Anolis sagrei: one gene and its partner. The main gene of each other region encodes a partner of the protein of the gene in region 2 in a complex. Links are inferred from orthologs where the notes say so. Each region holds a gene or a part of one and is shown on either strand. Other genes may lie near its edges.

Region 1 (6,905 bases), on a different chromosome or scaffold from region 2:
CTAAGCAAACCAAATGCCTCAGTTGGTCAAATGTGGAGACTTTACTGCCTTCAAGCCACCTTTGTAAAGCTTTTTCTATTCTAGAGCCCACCTGTGAATAGGTTTTTCACCATTCTTTCTTTTAATTTCTCTGAAAGTCTTTCTAATTTGCTCCACACTTTCACCCTTTCCTTAAATATAGCATAGTTTGTACACTCAGTGTCCCTTAACTGTGCACATCTTTCACTAAGCTCAGTGTATATCAAAGGCCTTATATGTGCCATCTTTCTTTCCTCAAGCACCTTAAAATCAGCGCAAGTCCTTTCAAAACTTGCGAGGAAACTTTCCACACAGTCCCCTCTTGAGTACTTTGGGAAATGCTTTATTTGAGAGGCTAATGGCTCAGATTGGGTTTCACTTGGACTGGATGTGGGTTGTCTTTCTTGTAATTTCAACTCCATCATCCCTTCTTCATGCTTCATTCTCTCCCTTTCTTTCTCAATCTCCAGTTGTCTTTCTTTCTCTCTAGCCTCCTGTTTCATTCTCTCAGCCTCAAGTTGTTTTTCTCTCTCTCTCTCATTGGCTTCTATCATTCTCTCTTTCTCTCTAATCTTATGTTTCATTTTCTCAGCCTCAAATTCCATCCTCCTAAGTTCAATTTCCATTCTCATCTTTTCCAATTCTAGGGAGGTAGTCACCATTTCTGGACTCTCTACCCTTTCTTCAGTCACAGTCTCTAACATCTCAGCCTCCTGCCTCTCCTCTCCTACTGGAGTTGCTGAGGTCTTTTTATTTGTAGGTGGAGCCATCACTACAGGGTTTCAAAATGGGGTTTCTGGGCAGTTTCTGAGGTACCTCCAGATCACTTTGGGACAAACGTTTACCTCAGGTTTTTGATCTAACATACTGGATCAAGCCTTAAAGTTACTATCCCACCGCTGAACACTCAAAAATTTTAAATCACGCCACTGGTCGTCAGTTTAAAGGATCATAGTTACCAATTCCACAACTAGACACAACTATGATGGAATATGATTCTGGCACAGAGCATTTATATATATGTGAAGTAACATGTATGTACTTTGGTAGATTTGCTGCCACCACCCAAAATACTTTGGGAAATTAAAGAATGATTCCCTGAGGTAATCCTCTTCCTTGCCCACCAGCTCTCCCTTAAGCTCCTTGAGATGACTGTGAAGTAAAGATGGTAAAACAGCTAGTATTATTCCCACTGGAATGAATCACTATTGAGGCTTCTTTAAAGTTGAACTAGAGAATATGCTTATTGATAATACAGAACAAACAACTATCTTCTTTAATGAGGCACACAAGCTTGAATGGTTTCTAAAGTACAGTAATCTTGATGGTTACTATAAACAGTTTCTTGTCTTAGATATGAGTAAAACTCCTCACTCTACAACACAGCAGCAGTGCGTTCCCCAGACAAACCTAACCAGGTTGTCCCCAGAGCAATTAGCTACACTCTAAGCAGAGTCCTCTAAAAGCTAATCTACTCTAACCCAGAGAGCAAACCACTTGTGTAAAAACCAACACAAGCACCCAGGCAACTACTTTGACCCTCTTGGTCAATAATGCAGCCTTGCCTGTCACAAAATGCTCTCTCACAGAAAAATCTAAGCTCACCAAAAATCTACCTTTCTTCTCCTCTGTTCCCAAAACCAATCTCTCTTCTCTCTCTCAAGCTGACACTTTCCCCTCTCTGTGCTTAACTCCTCCCATCTGTCCTAATCAATCCAGAGGGAGCTCCAGCTCCTCCCCTTCTTCTCATTTTACACTCCCAAGATGTCTGCCTCCTCTGCCTAAACTCCCAAAATGGAGGCCTGCCTACTGACATCTCAGGCTCCTACTTTGGCCTACGAAGTAAGAATCATTACATGAAGCTTGCTGGAGAATACAACTGTGTGTGTAAACTGTAAAATAACATGCATGAAGCTGATTGGTTGGGCAATGCATAGGGTGATGGCTGAGCCTGGAACTTTTGGATACTGTTGCACATTTGTTCAGGCTCGAGCTATGCAGCTGCAGAGAGACAGACAGATTTGCTCTTTGGCTGCTGAAAGAAGGTCTCTCATATGGACAAAGAAATACCATTTTAAATTTCTCTAAAAGGACAGTATGTGAGTTGGTGCAACGGATCATATTGTACATATGTTGTTCTGAACTAAGAAGAGTTCAGGTAACACAACAGAGATGGGAGGGGGAAAGTTGGTAAGGATAATTGATGATGGAATTTAAAGGTTTCCTCAGCAGCAATGAACAACCCAAAGTTCGGTCTGTAGAAATAAAGCTATGTTATAATCTCCTTGTTTCTGGTCTCAATTGGGAAACAAGGGCAGGAATATATTTAAAGGAAGATCTGCTTTAATATTTCAGATATTTTTGTTGGATGCCTTTAAGTCACTTCCAGTTTATGGCAGCCCTGTCTCAGGGATTTCTTGCCAAGTTTTTTTTTGGAGGGTTTGCCATTGCCTTCCTAAGAAACTGTGCAGGTTCTAAGCTCTGCCAGGGAGGCCGTCCTCTCGGTCCTGCCCCCATCTCAAATATGGCTGATGGGGATGAGGAAGAGGGCCTTCTCAGTGGTTGCCCCCTGGCTTTGGAACACCTTCCCCAAGGAAATCAGGCAAGCCACCACAATTCAGTCTTTTTGGAGGGACCTGAAGACATAGCTCTTCAAGGTGGCCTTTGATGATGGTTAAGGTATCATCTATATTGGCTGAGCTAAATGAAGTTCTACCCTAACACATTACCCCTGATATTTTTAACCTGTCTTGTGGCTGGGACGTTAAACTCGGTTTGTATAATGTTTTCTCGAAGGTTTTCATGGCTGGAATCAATGGGTTGCTGTGAGTTTTCCAGGATGTATGGCCATGTTCCAGAAGCATTCTCTCCTGACATTTCGCCCACATCTATGGCAGGCATCCTTAGAAGTCGAGGGGTCAGTTGGAAACTGGTAAGTGGGGTTTATATAACTGTGGAGTGTTCAGCGTGGGGGAAAGAACTCTTGTTTGCTTGAGGTATGTGTGACAAGAATCAATCAGGGCCAGCTAACAGCTCCCGACAAAGGATTCCCCCAGGCAGCAACCAGCCAGGCCTTGAAACTGCAGGCCATTAAATGCTAATCAAGGTGGCAAATTGCAACATTCACAGGTACCTCTAGCAGACAAGAGTTCTTTCATTTATTTATTTATATTTATTTACAGTATTTATATTCCGCCCTTCTCACCCCGCAGGGGACTCAGGGTGGATTACAATGTACATATACATGCCATAGACACACAACACATATATACAGAGGCTATTTAACATTCCAGCTTTTGATGAGGGTATTCTGGCCACCAGGGGAGCTGTTGCTTCACCGTCCATTTGTGACACTGATGAAGTACTTCCTTATTCTTTGCATTCTTGCTGGAGATTTTTATGGTATCATAAATTAGTTAAATTAGCCTCCCCGCGTACGCAGTACCTAAATTTCCTACTTGACAGATGCAACTGTCTTTCGAGCTGCAAAGGTTGACAGCAAGCTACACAAATTGGTCGGATGCTCACTCCGACCTGGGCTGGCTTCCAACTCATGACCTTTTGGTCAGTAGTGATCTTAATGCAGCTGACTCCCAGCCAGCTGCGCCACAGTCCCGGTGCAATTCTGGCTGTTAGGAATTGTGGGAGTTGAAGTCCAAAACACCTGGAGGGTCGAGGTTTGCTTATGCCTGTTTCCTGGCGTAATGAGGCCCTCCAGGGCGAAGGGGGCGCTGTTCCGCTGCGCTCGTGGGTGTTTCTGGGCGGTGTGCCGGGCCCCTCTTCCGGTGCAGGGGCCGGAAGTGCCTGTCGGGAAGCGGCAGGGGCCTGTTTCGGGAGGCCGGCGCTATGGAGGGTCGCGGCAGCGGCTCTTCGGAGCACCTGGAGCGGCTGCACGAAATCTTCCGCGGCCTCCACGAGGAGTTGCGAGCTGGGCCGGAGAGGCTGCGCGGGAGCCAGGCGGTCGGTACGTGAAGAAGGAAGGGCCCTCGGGCCGGAGCCTTGGAGGCGGGGAAGAAGGAGGGGACAGATGAGGCCTGGGCACACTTCGGGGGTTTTGAACTCCCAACTCCCACAATTCCTAACAGCCGGAATTTTACTGAAGTAGCCTGAAAAGGGCCGTCACCCACGAGGTCATACCAGACGTGGGCAAACTTCGGCCCTCCAGGTGTTTTGGACTTCAGCTCCCACAAGTCCTTAACAGGCTGTGAGGAGTTGTGGGAGTTGAGGTCCAAAACACCTGGAGGCCCGAAGTTTGCCCATGCCTGCGCTATAATAATGCAGTGAGGATGGTCACACTACACTTCTAAAGGGTTAGTATCCCACTTTAAACCCACTGGCTGCCTCCTCTGAAATCCTGGGATTGGCACTTTAGGGAGGGGCCTTTACAGGCCTGTAGCCAGGATTTCGATTCGGGTGGGGGGGCTGAGTTTGTTTTGGGGGGGGGGCTGAGTCAGTGAAAGAGGGTCTACGCTAGCAAACCTTTTGTATCGTTACTCCAATACCCCCATGCATATGGGATATATTGAGCACGGTGATCAGATCATGATATGAATAAACATAACAGTTTAAATAATGCACCAGTAAGGCCTTTTCGCGAACCACCATGAGAATTTCAGGGGAGGGGGCTAAAGCCCCCCAAGCCCCCCCCCCCCCCCTGGCTACTTACCTGCGCCTTTACAACCCTCTGCCAGAGAGATCCTTATCCTTATTACATTGCAAACCCCAGAACTATGCAAGAGGCAGCCATAGGATTTAAAGAGATGCCCACGCTTTAAAGTAGGGATGGGCAGACGTTGACCAGCTGTTTTGGACTCCAACACTCACAAGTCCTAACAGGCAGTTAGGACTATGGGAGTTGAAGTCCAAAACACCTGTAGGTCCCAAGTTTGCCCATGCCTGCTTTAAAAATGTAGTGTGATAATCTCCAATTGTATACGATTGTAGCACAAGTATTCTATTCTAATTACTATGGCAACATCTCGTGGAATTCTGGGTTTTGTAGTGTGAGGCCCCAGAGCTCTCTGGCTGCATTCTAAACAGCACTTCCTAAACAGCAGATGGAAACAGGTCAGTTAAACTGGAATAATAGTACTATTTTTTTTTGTCATGTCAGGAGCAACTGCTCCTGTTGTGAGAGAATTGGCCGTCTGCAAGGACGTTGCCCAGGGGACGCCTAGATGATTATTGATGTTTTATCATCCTTGTGGGAGGCTTCTCTCATGTCCTCGCATGAGGAGCTGGAGCTAGTAGAGGGAGCTCATCTGTCTCTCCCTGGATTCGAACCTGCAACCTGTCAGTCTTCAGTCCTGCCAGCACAGTGCTTTAACCCACTGCGCCACCAGGGTCTCCATAATAGTACTATAATACTGTAGAACAGTGGTTCCCAACCTTTGGTTCTCCAGGTGTTTTGGATTTCCAATTCCCAGAAATCCTAGCCATTTTACAAGCTGTTAGGAATTGCAGGAGCTGAAGTCCCCAAAACACCTGGAGTACCAAAGGTTGGGAACCACTGCTTTAGAACTACTGTATTTCATTGAAATCGAATGCCCACCTGGTTTGGCTAAATTACCTTCCCAAAATTCGGGTGTGCATTAGATTCATGTAATATGATTTTTTGTGCTGAATCAAAGCTAAAGGCGAAGCTATTTCAGGAGCACCTGGAGCTCCTATTTGAGGGACATCATCTCTAATTTAATTCCCATGGCTCAATGCTATGCAATGTTGGGATTTATAGTTTGGTGAGGAATTAGCATTCTTTGACATTCCAGTCACTCTATAGCATTGAGCTAGGGCAGTTAAAGTGCTTCATTCTACAGCATAGAGGCACCCCAAGGTTCCATTGCTTAAAGCTTTGGTGTTCTAACACTTTTGTTTTTAAAGAAGGAATTATAAGTGCACAGCAGACCTTCTTTGGCCAAATTACAAAGAGTGCACTTTTGTCACTTCGCATTACATTCGCCAGCAAATACTTTTTTTTTTTTTTTTTGGTTTCAGGGTTTTGAAAATTGAGGTCCGCATTAGATTCGATGGCGCATTAGACTTGAGTACATATGAGTATAACAGTGTGGTGTAAGAAGGCCCTACGCTGTTACAGCACTGTTAGTTGCAATCCTGTGGGCCTTTGCAGTTTATTGAGGTACCAGACCTCTCTGACTAGGAATCCTAAAGTCCCCTCCTTCACTGGTAATCCCAGGATTCCATAGGATGTTGCCATGGCAGGTACAGTGGAACAATGCCACTCAAGTGGGAGCGTGATAAGGCCCTTCACTGGTACAGCATTGTTATAAGACAGAGCTTCCCAACCATGTCATGCTGGGCACACACCTTTTAGATATGTATCATTTCACAAGGCGGTAAGTCAGTTTTACTAGCAAACTAGAGGTTAAACCAGCCCCTTCAAAGAAATGTGGACAGATTTATTAATTGGAATGATGAAATGTAGAAAGACACAAAATATTTCAGGAAAACCTTTCATTTATATATTTAAAAATATATGATTTGTAAGATAACACACAGTTCTAAGATTTGTGTCATTTCGTTTTACATTCACACAACACACCTACACACTGCAACCAACACTTTGATGTGAGGCAACACAAAGTTTGAAAAGCTCTGTTATAAGGACTTAAAGAACATTTGACAGTCAAAAGTGATTGTCATAAAGCAGTGGTTCTCAACCTTTCTAATGCCGTGACCCCTAAATACAGTTCCTCGTGTTATGGTGACCCCCAACCATAAAATTATTTTTGTTGCTACGTTATAACTGTAATTTTGCTACTGTTATGAATTGTAATGTAAAATATCTGATATGCAGGATGTATTTTCATTGTTACAAAGTGAACATAATTAAAGCATAGTGATTAATCGATTATTTGGGGGAGCATGGA
Region 2 (8,031 bases):
CTAGTCCATGAGATCACGAAGAGTCAGAAACGACTGAACGAATGAACAGCAACAACAAATATGCAAATATAAGTATTCCAAAATTGGGGTGGGGGGCAGAATCTAAATACTTCTGGTTCTAAGCATTTTGTGTCAAGGCTGCTCAACCTGTATTGATGCTTTATCAATATCAAGTAGAAAGAGATCCTCACCACCAGCACCAATACACATACAAATAAAATAGCAAATGAGCCTAAGGACAGATCTACACTGACCATTCTTCAGTGTGTGGTGGTTAGGCTACACACACTTCAAAGGCATACCTCAGTGCACTTTAAGGGCTTTAAATCAAGCTCACTACAGTCAGAGGAAAGTCCAAAATAAAGTCCTTAATGCACATAAGCACACTCTAGTGTAAACCACATTTCACAGAAAACCCCTTTCGTAGAATGGGAATCACTGTGCAGAAACCCAAAACACTCTGCTGATCGAAGGATGTACATTCCGGTGGAGAGGGTTGAAAAAAAAACCCCCCACATTCTCTGCATTTATCAAGTCCCACAGATACTGTGGATCCTAGAACTGGTTCACGGTCAACCTCTGCGTTATATGAAATTACTATACAGGTGTCAAACCAGTTCCAGTGTTTCCAATGTAATCAGTCACACACCGACACTGCTTCCTTCTATGCCGATTTCAAACTCACCTAAGAACTACAGAAAAAGTGGAAAACACCAAGAGAAATGTGATACGGAAATGCATATCTGAACTGTGGTAGTTGGTCCATCTTCCCTACTAAGCTTCAACACCTCTCTTGTGAACACATAAATGACAGACTTAAGGCCTTTCCACACAGCTCTATATCAAAGAATATCAAGGCAGGAAATCCCACATTATCTGAGTGTGAACTCAGATAACCCAGTTCAAAGCAGATATTGTGAGATTTTCTGCCTTGATATTCTGGGATATAGGGCTGTGTGGAAGGGCCCCAAGTCCATACTCTGATAACGTGGGATTTATTTATTTATTTATTTTGCCTTGATATTCTGGGATACAGGGCTTTGTGCAAGGGCCCCCTGTTCAAAGCAGATATAGTGGGATTTTCACCCTTGATATTCTGGGATATGGGGCTGTGTGGAAGGGCTACGATATAAAATCCACATTACCTGCTTTGAACTGGATTATATGAGGCCCCTTCTACACTGCCACATAATCCAGATTGTCAATGCAAATAATCCGCATCATCTGACTTGAATTGGATTATATGAGTGTACAGTGCCATATAATCCATTTCAAAGCAAATAATCTGGATTTTATATGGCAGTTTAGAAGGGGGCTCTGTCTCCAGAAGACAATCATAAAAAGAACCTTAATACCTGGCTCTTCCGCTGCGCTTTTGATGAATAGGTTTACATCTTCATACTAGTGCATCAACACTTTGTCATTAGAGTACATGCCCTCCCTTGTGGGAAAGCCTGATCCCACAACCACCACTATAATGAGCCCTCCTCTGCAAATAATCTGTTTCTTTCTTATCTCACCTGAGTTTTAATCAGTTTTTAATCAGTCTCTCTTTTAACCATTACATGTAATCCGCCCACTGTCATTGTGATTGTGCCTACTGTAATTTTATATTGCTATGTTTTTCACATGTTCTATGTAATTATGTTGCTGTTGTTTATTGTTTGCGTTTTTGGTTTTATTTTATTGTAATTTGTTGTTTGGGCTTGCCTCATGTAAGCCGCTCCGAGTCCTCATTGGGGATATTTTTTTTTGTCATGTCAGGAGCGACCTGAGAAACTGCAAGTTGCTTCTGGTGTGAGAGAATTGGCCGTCTGCAAGGACATTGCCCAGGGGACACCAGGATGATTTGATGTTTTTATCATCCTTGTCATGCGGGGACATGAGAGAAGCCTCCCACAAGGATGATAAAAACATCAAATCATCCTGGTGTCCCCTGGGCAATGTCCTTGCAGACGGCCAATTCTCTCACACCAGAAGCAACTTGCAGTTTCTCAGGTCGCTCCTGATGTGACAAAAAAAATTGGCAGACGGCCAATTCTCTCACACCAGAAGCGACTTCTGACACGACAAAAAAAAAAATCATCCTTGTGGGTGGCTTCTCTCATGTCCCCCGCATGAGGAACTAGAGCTGATAGAGGGAGCTCATCCGCCTCTCCCCGATTCGAACCTGCGACCTGTCAACCTTCAGATAGGGGTTTAACCTACTGCGCCACTAGGGGCTCCACCATTGGCGAGATGGTGGCGGGGTATAAATAAAGTTTATTATTATTAATATTATATTCTCATATTCAGCCACAAGTGTTTGCCTATGCATATAGGTATGTTGCAAAAATGTAATGAGAAACCTCTAAGAGCCCTTCCATACAGCCATATAACCCATAATATCAAAGCAGAAAATCACACATTATCGGAATGTGGACTCGGATAACCCAGTTCAAAGCAGGTAATGTGGGATTGTCTGCCTCGATATTCCGGGATATAGGGATTTGTGGAAGGGCCCTGAGGCACCTTCCACACAGCTATATAAAATCCATATTGAACTGGATTATATGGCTGTGTGGACTCATATAATCCAGTACAAAGCAGATATTGTGGATTATCTGACTTGATATTCTGGGCCATACAGCTGTTTGGAGGGGCTCTGAGGTTTAAGCTGACTTTCTCACAAGGAAATCCCATTGGGTTCAATGACTGATTCCCAAATGTCATTCCTTTCAATAGGATTGAGACTCCTTTTTATGTTCTCTCCCCTAAAATCTCCCGGAAGGAGCCCAGAGCCACGTCGCAGCCTTCCTGCTTTCCCTCCCTGCTAGCTTTCCTTCCTTCCTTCCTGAGGACTCACCACTTCCCGGGCCCGGTTGGAAAAGTCGCTCCTTGGCCGGGAGCGCTTGAGGATGAGGAGGGCCTCATCGCGGGAGGAGTCGCTGCTGCTGCCTCCGCTGCCGCCCAGCGGGACCCCGAGCGCCTTGTTCCGGGTCTTCACCGTCTTCACGCTGGCTTTGAACAGCAGCGTGATGTCCACGGCCATGGCTGGGCTGAGGCGGGCAGGTGGGCGGGCCTCTCCTGCCCACGCGTCCTTTCCTCAAAGCCTTCCCTCTCGCAACTGGGCCGCGCCCGAAGGTTCCGCCTCCACTGAGTGCCCTCTTGGTGACGCCCTCGCCCTGTCTGAAATTGACATGTCTCATAAAACGTTTCCTTGGCAACCTCTCACTTCCTGTAGGGACTTCCTGTAGTGGAGTAATCTCGTCCCCCAAAGATGTTTGGACTGCTTTCTTCCTGCATCTCATTTTGAAGCATGGCATGATTCTCACCTAGAATCATAGAATCATAGAGTTGGAAGCGATCTCGTGGGCCATCCAGTCCAACCCCCTGCCAAGAAGCAGGAAAATTGCATTGAAAGCACCCCCGACAATGGCCATCCAGCCTCTGTTCAAAAGCCTCCAAAGAAGGAGCCTCCACCACACTCTGGGGCAGAGAGTTCCACTGCTGAACAGCTCTCACAGTCAGGAAGTGAAATGACCAAGGCAGAGACATCTCCAGCTCATCCCCTGTTTGGGTATCAGCCAGCACGTCAGCGACTTAAATCCAGACATAGTTTTATAAGATCTACAGAGACACTCGCTGGAACGCCTCAGCAAGCGAGAGTCCAAAAGTGGCAGGCTCAAACCCAGAACCTCAACCAATGGCTGATACCAAATGAGAAACTCCCCGCTGGGCACACAGAGGACTGGGCGACTTGGAAGGCGCTGAACAGACTGTGCTCTGGCACCACGAGATGCAGAGCCAACCTTCAGAAATGGGGCTACAAAGTGGAATCCTTGACATGCGAATGTGGAGAGGAGCAAACCACAGATCACCTGCTCCAATGCACCCTGAGCCCTGCCACATGCACAATGGAGGACCTTCTTGCAGCAACACCAGAAGCACTCCAAGTGGCCAGATACTGGTCAAAGGACATTTAATCAACTACCAAACTCACAAATTTTGTATTTTCTCTGTTTGTTTGCTTTGTTCTGTTAGAAATGTAATATAATTGACTGGCTGCCCTGACACGAAATAAAAAAAAAAGTCAGGAAGTTCTTCCTAATGTTCAGATGGAATCTCCTTTCTTGTAATTTGAAGCCATTGTTCCGCGTCCTAGTCTCCGGGGAAGCAGAAAACAAGCTTGCTCCCTCCTCCCTATGACTTTCTCTCACATACTTATACATGGCTATCATGTCTCCTCTGGCTACCAGTATTAAAAAAACTCTAAAATTACAACAGCACAACAACAGAGAGGAAACAAACAAGGACATCTAATCACCTCTCAACAAAAGTTTGCTCTAGGCACTGTCAAGCCATTATATGCTAATCAAGGTGGTCAGTTGGAACATTCACACCTAGCTCCAGCAGACAAGAGTCCTTTGTCTCACCATGGTCATTCCACAGATATATAAACCCTTTTTCCTAGCTCCAACAGACCTCACTACCTCTGAGGATGCTTGCCTAGATGCAGACAAAACATCAGGAGAGAATGCCTCTAGACCATGGCCATATAGCCCGAAAAAACCTACAACAACCCATGTCTCCTCGGTTTTCTCTTCTTCAGGCTAAACATGCCCAGCTCTTTAAGCCGCTCCTCATAGGGCTTGTTCTCCAGGCCCTTGATCATTTTAGTTGCCCTCCTCTGGACACTTTCCAGCTTGTCAACATCTCCCTTCAACTGTGGTGCCCAGAATTCGACACAGTATTCCAGATGTGGTCTAACCAAGGCAGAATAGACAGGTAGCATGACTTCCCTGAAAATCTGTATGTGTTAAGAGTGAAAAAGCCTTGGGTGTAATGAAAGTGAAAGCTGCTCCTTGTAGGGCTTGTTCTCCAGACCCTTGATTGTTTTAGTCGCCCTCCTAAGGACACTTCTCTCCCGCGATGCCATATTCACAGCTGTGAATCCCAAGGAGATTTCACTATGCAACACGATTTTTGTTCCTGGGTTATAAATGCCATTTCCGAATTGGTTCTATCATAAGAAAATGAGATTTTTTTTATTAAACAGACAAAACTTTGTGTTTGCATGTTATCCTGCAGCACATTTTGCTATGGTTTTTCAATGACTCTCTCATCCAGTCTCAACCAATTCAACATTGTTTGTGGCAGCCACAAAAACAAAGTTTCTGGGGTATAACAACTACTTTCAAAGTATGTTGTTGTTGTTCATTCGTTCAGTCCTCTTCTGACTCTTTGTGACCTCATAGACCAGCCCACGCCAGAGCTCCCTGTCGGCCATCACCACCTCCAGCTCCTTCAAGATCAAGCCAGTTACTTCAACGATGCCATCCATTCATCTTGCCCTTGGTTGGCCCCTCTTCCTTTTTCCTTCAATTTCCTCCAGCATCGTCTTCTCTAAGCTTTCCTGTCTTCTCATGATGTGGCCAAAGTACTTAATCTTTGCCTCTAATATCCTTCCCTCCAATGAGTAGTTGGGTTTTATTTCCTGAAGTATGGACTGGTTGGATCTTCTCACAGTCCAAGGCACTCTCAGCACTTTCCTCCAACACCACAATTCAAAAGCATCTATCTTCCTTGGCTCAGTTTTCCCTAAGGTCCAGCTCTCACATCCATAGGTGACTACGGGGAATACCATTGCTTTTACTATGAGGATATTTGTTGCCAGTGTGATGTCTCTACTCTTCACTATTTTATCAAGATTGGTCATTGCTCTCCTCCCAAGAAGTAAGCATCTGATTTTCTGGCTGCAGTCTGCATCAAAGTCTTACTTCAAAGTAAGTACCGCACAATTAAGGAAATAACCCTTTCAAACCAAGAACAGATTTTTTACTCCCAAATTTTGTTTCATAGTATCATTGGGAACGTGCTCCCTGCGCAAAAGGTTGTTGTTGTTGTTCATTCGTTCAGTCGTCTCCGACTCTTCGTGACCTCATGGACCAGCCCACGCCAGAGCTCCCTGTCAGCCGTTACCACCCCCAGCTCCCTCAAGGTCAGTCCAGTCACTTCAAGGATGCCATCCATCCATCTTGCCCTTGGTCGGCCCCTCTTCCTTTTGTCTTCCACTTTCCCCAGCATAATTGTCTTCTCTAGGCTCTCCTGTCTCCTCATGATGTGGCCAAAGTACTTCAACTTTGTCTCTAGTATCTTTCCCTCCAGTGAGCAGTCGGGCTTTATTTCCTGGAGGATGGACTGGTTGGATCTTCTCGCAGTCCAAGGCACTCTTAGCGCAAAAGGTGCTGCTGTATAAAAATTGTTGCATTTATTGATCTGAGAGTTGGTTTCCTTTGCCACCAGAAGAGGCCACTGCCTGCAAATGTCTGCCTATTTAGCTGCCAAAAGTTCCTTACAGCTATTTGTTAAACAAAACAACATTAAAACCATGCCCTGTGTATTCAATAGCAATTTAGTAAACCCTGATTTGTAGGGATTTTGTTGTGTTTTTTATGGCCCCTTCCACACAGTCAACAGTGTGGTGTGATAGCTAAATAAACCAATACTTTTCTAGGCTGCATCAATAGTATAATGCCCAGATTGAGGGAAATGATTGTCTTGTTTTATCTATTTTATTGACTCCACTCTTTGATCAGACCTCACAGGAATAATGCGTCCAGTTCTAGGCACCACAATTTAAGAAGGATATTGTTATTGAGAGGAACCAAAAGTAGCCTGGAAGCCAAAACCTTATGAGGAGCAGCCTAGGGAGCCGGGTATGTTTAGACTGGAGAAGAGAAAGTTAAGAGGTGATGTGTCAGACCAGGTGTGGATAAACCCATGCCTGGGGGCCAAATGCAGCCCCTTGGACTTTTTTCTCAGGCCCTCCTCTCTCCCACTGTCTTATCCTTCGCTCCCTCGCTTCCTTCCTTCTTTACCCTTTTCTCCCTCCCTCCTTCTCTTCCATTTTTTCATCCTTCCTTCCTTCCCTCTTTCCTCCCTCCTCTCTTTCTCCTTCCTTCCCTTTTGTCTTTCCTCCCTCCCTTCTCTCCCTCCCTCCCTCCAACCATTCCCTTCCAACCTTCCTTCCAATCATCTCTTCCTCCCTCCCTTCTCTTTTTCCTTCCTCCTTTCCTCCTGGGTGGATGTTTAGCTGGGAGAAGAGAAGGTAGAGTGGGAGCATGAGAACCATGTTTCAAGATTCCAGAAGGTGTCCCATTGAGGATTTCCTGCTGCTTTAGAGACCAGGGCACAAGGGAGCAATGGGTTCAAACGGCAGGGAAAGATATTTGACTGGATGGGAATGACATACTAGCTACCCCCTTTTCTCCTAGAAGTTAAATGGATATTTAGACTTTAGTTGAAGAGAAGAAAAAAACAGAGCCATATTACACACTCTTTGGCTTTTAACCAGCAGCAGGATGGCATCTTCTGTATTATTTTCCTGCAAACTTAAATAGTCTTCTGCCAAGTTGACTTATCTTCACAGCAATTTCCATTAATAGATCACCAAGTTAAAAGAAAATAATTTCAAGTTCTTCTGATGCTTAAAATGTGGAGCCCTGTTAACAGAAGTCAAAGAATTGAAAAAACGACCTCACAATTTGATCTCGTTGAAAACCAGACCATTTTATTTTATTTTTCTCTACCCACAGGCCACCTTACTGAGTTGCCAGGTAAGGATAACAAATAATCTTTGCTACATCATCTGAACTGTTTTTAAGTTGTGACTTGATTAAAACAGTGTAATATAAATAGCTGTTGCATAGGGTGGTGTGTGTATGCCTTTCTCCAGAACGAAATGTGTCCTATGCTAAAATAGATCCAGAATGGGTCCAAGGTTAAAAAAAAATCCATGCTACTAGTTGGTATTTGTGATTCTTATCAGTATTCATTTGGCTACAAGGAGCCCCCGGTGGCGCAGTGGGTTAGGCCCCTGTACCAGCAGGACTGAAGACCAACAGGTCGCAGGTTCAAATCTGGGGAGAGGCGGATGAGCTCCCTCTATCAGCTCCAGCTCCTCATGCGGGGACATGAGAGAAGCCTCCCACAAGGATGATAAAAACATCAAATCATCCGGGCGTCCCCTGGGCAACGTCCTTGCAGACG

The links. Proteins that work in one complex are often made in the same cells at the same time.
Region 1: STX18 (region 2) and VTI1B share a complex: the UniProt entries of both Homo sapiens proteins name them as parts of the SNARE complex. The link is inferred for Anolis sagrei from reciprocal best matches to the Homo sapiens genes STX18 and VTI1B.

Annotation. Positions count from the first base shown.
Region 1 is NC_090021.1:281,960,850-281,967,754, forward strand, and holds the start of VTI1B (vesicle transport through interaction with t-SNAREs homolog 1B), read left to right. Parts: upstream 1-3,808; 5' UTR 3,809-3,864; coding exon 3,865-3,982; intron 3,983-6,905. UniProt on the Homo sapiens protein: V-SNARE that mediates vesicle transport pathways through interactions with t-SNAREs on the target membrane. These interactions are proposed to mediate aspects of the specificity of vesicle trafficking and to promote fusion of the lipid bilayers.
Region 2 is NC_090025.1:106,541,945-106,549,975, reverse strand, and holds the start of STX18 (syntaxin-18), read right to left. Parts: upstream 3,102-8,031; 5' UTR 3,032-3,101; coding exon 2,846-3,031; intron 1-2,845. UniProt on the Homo sapiens protein: Syntaxin that may be involved in targeting and fusion of Golgi-derived retrograde transport vesicles with the ER.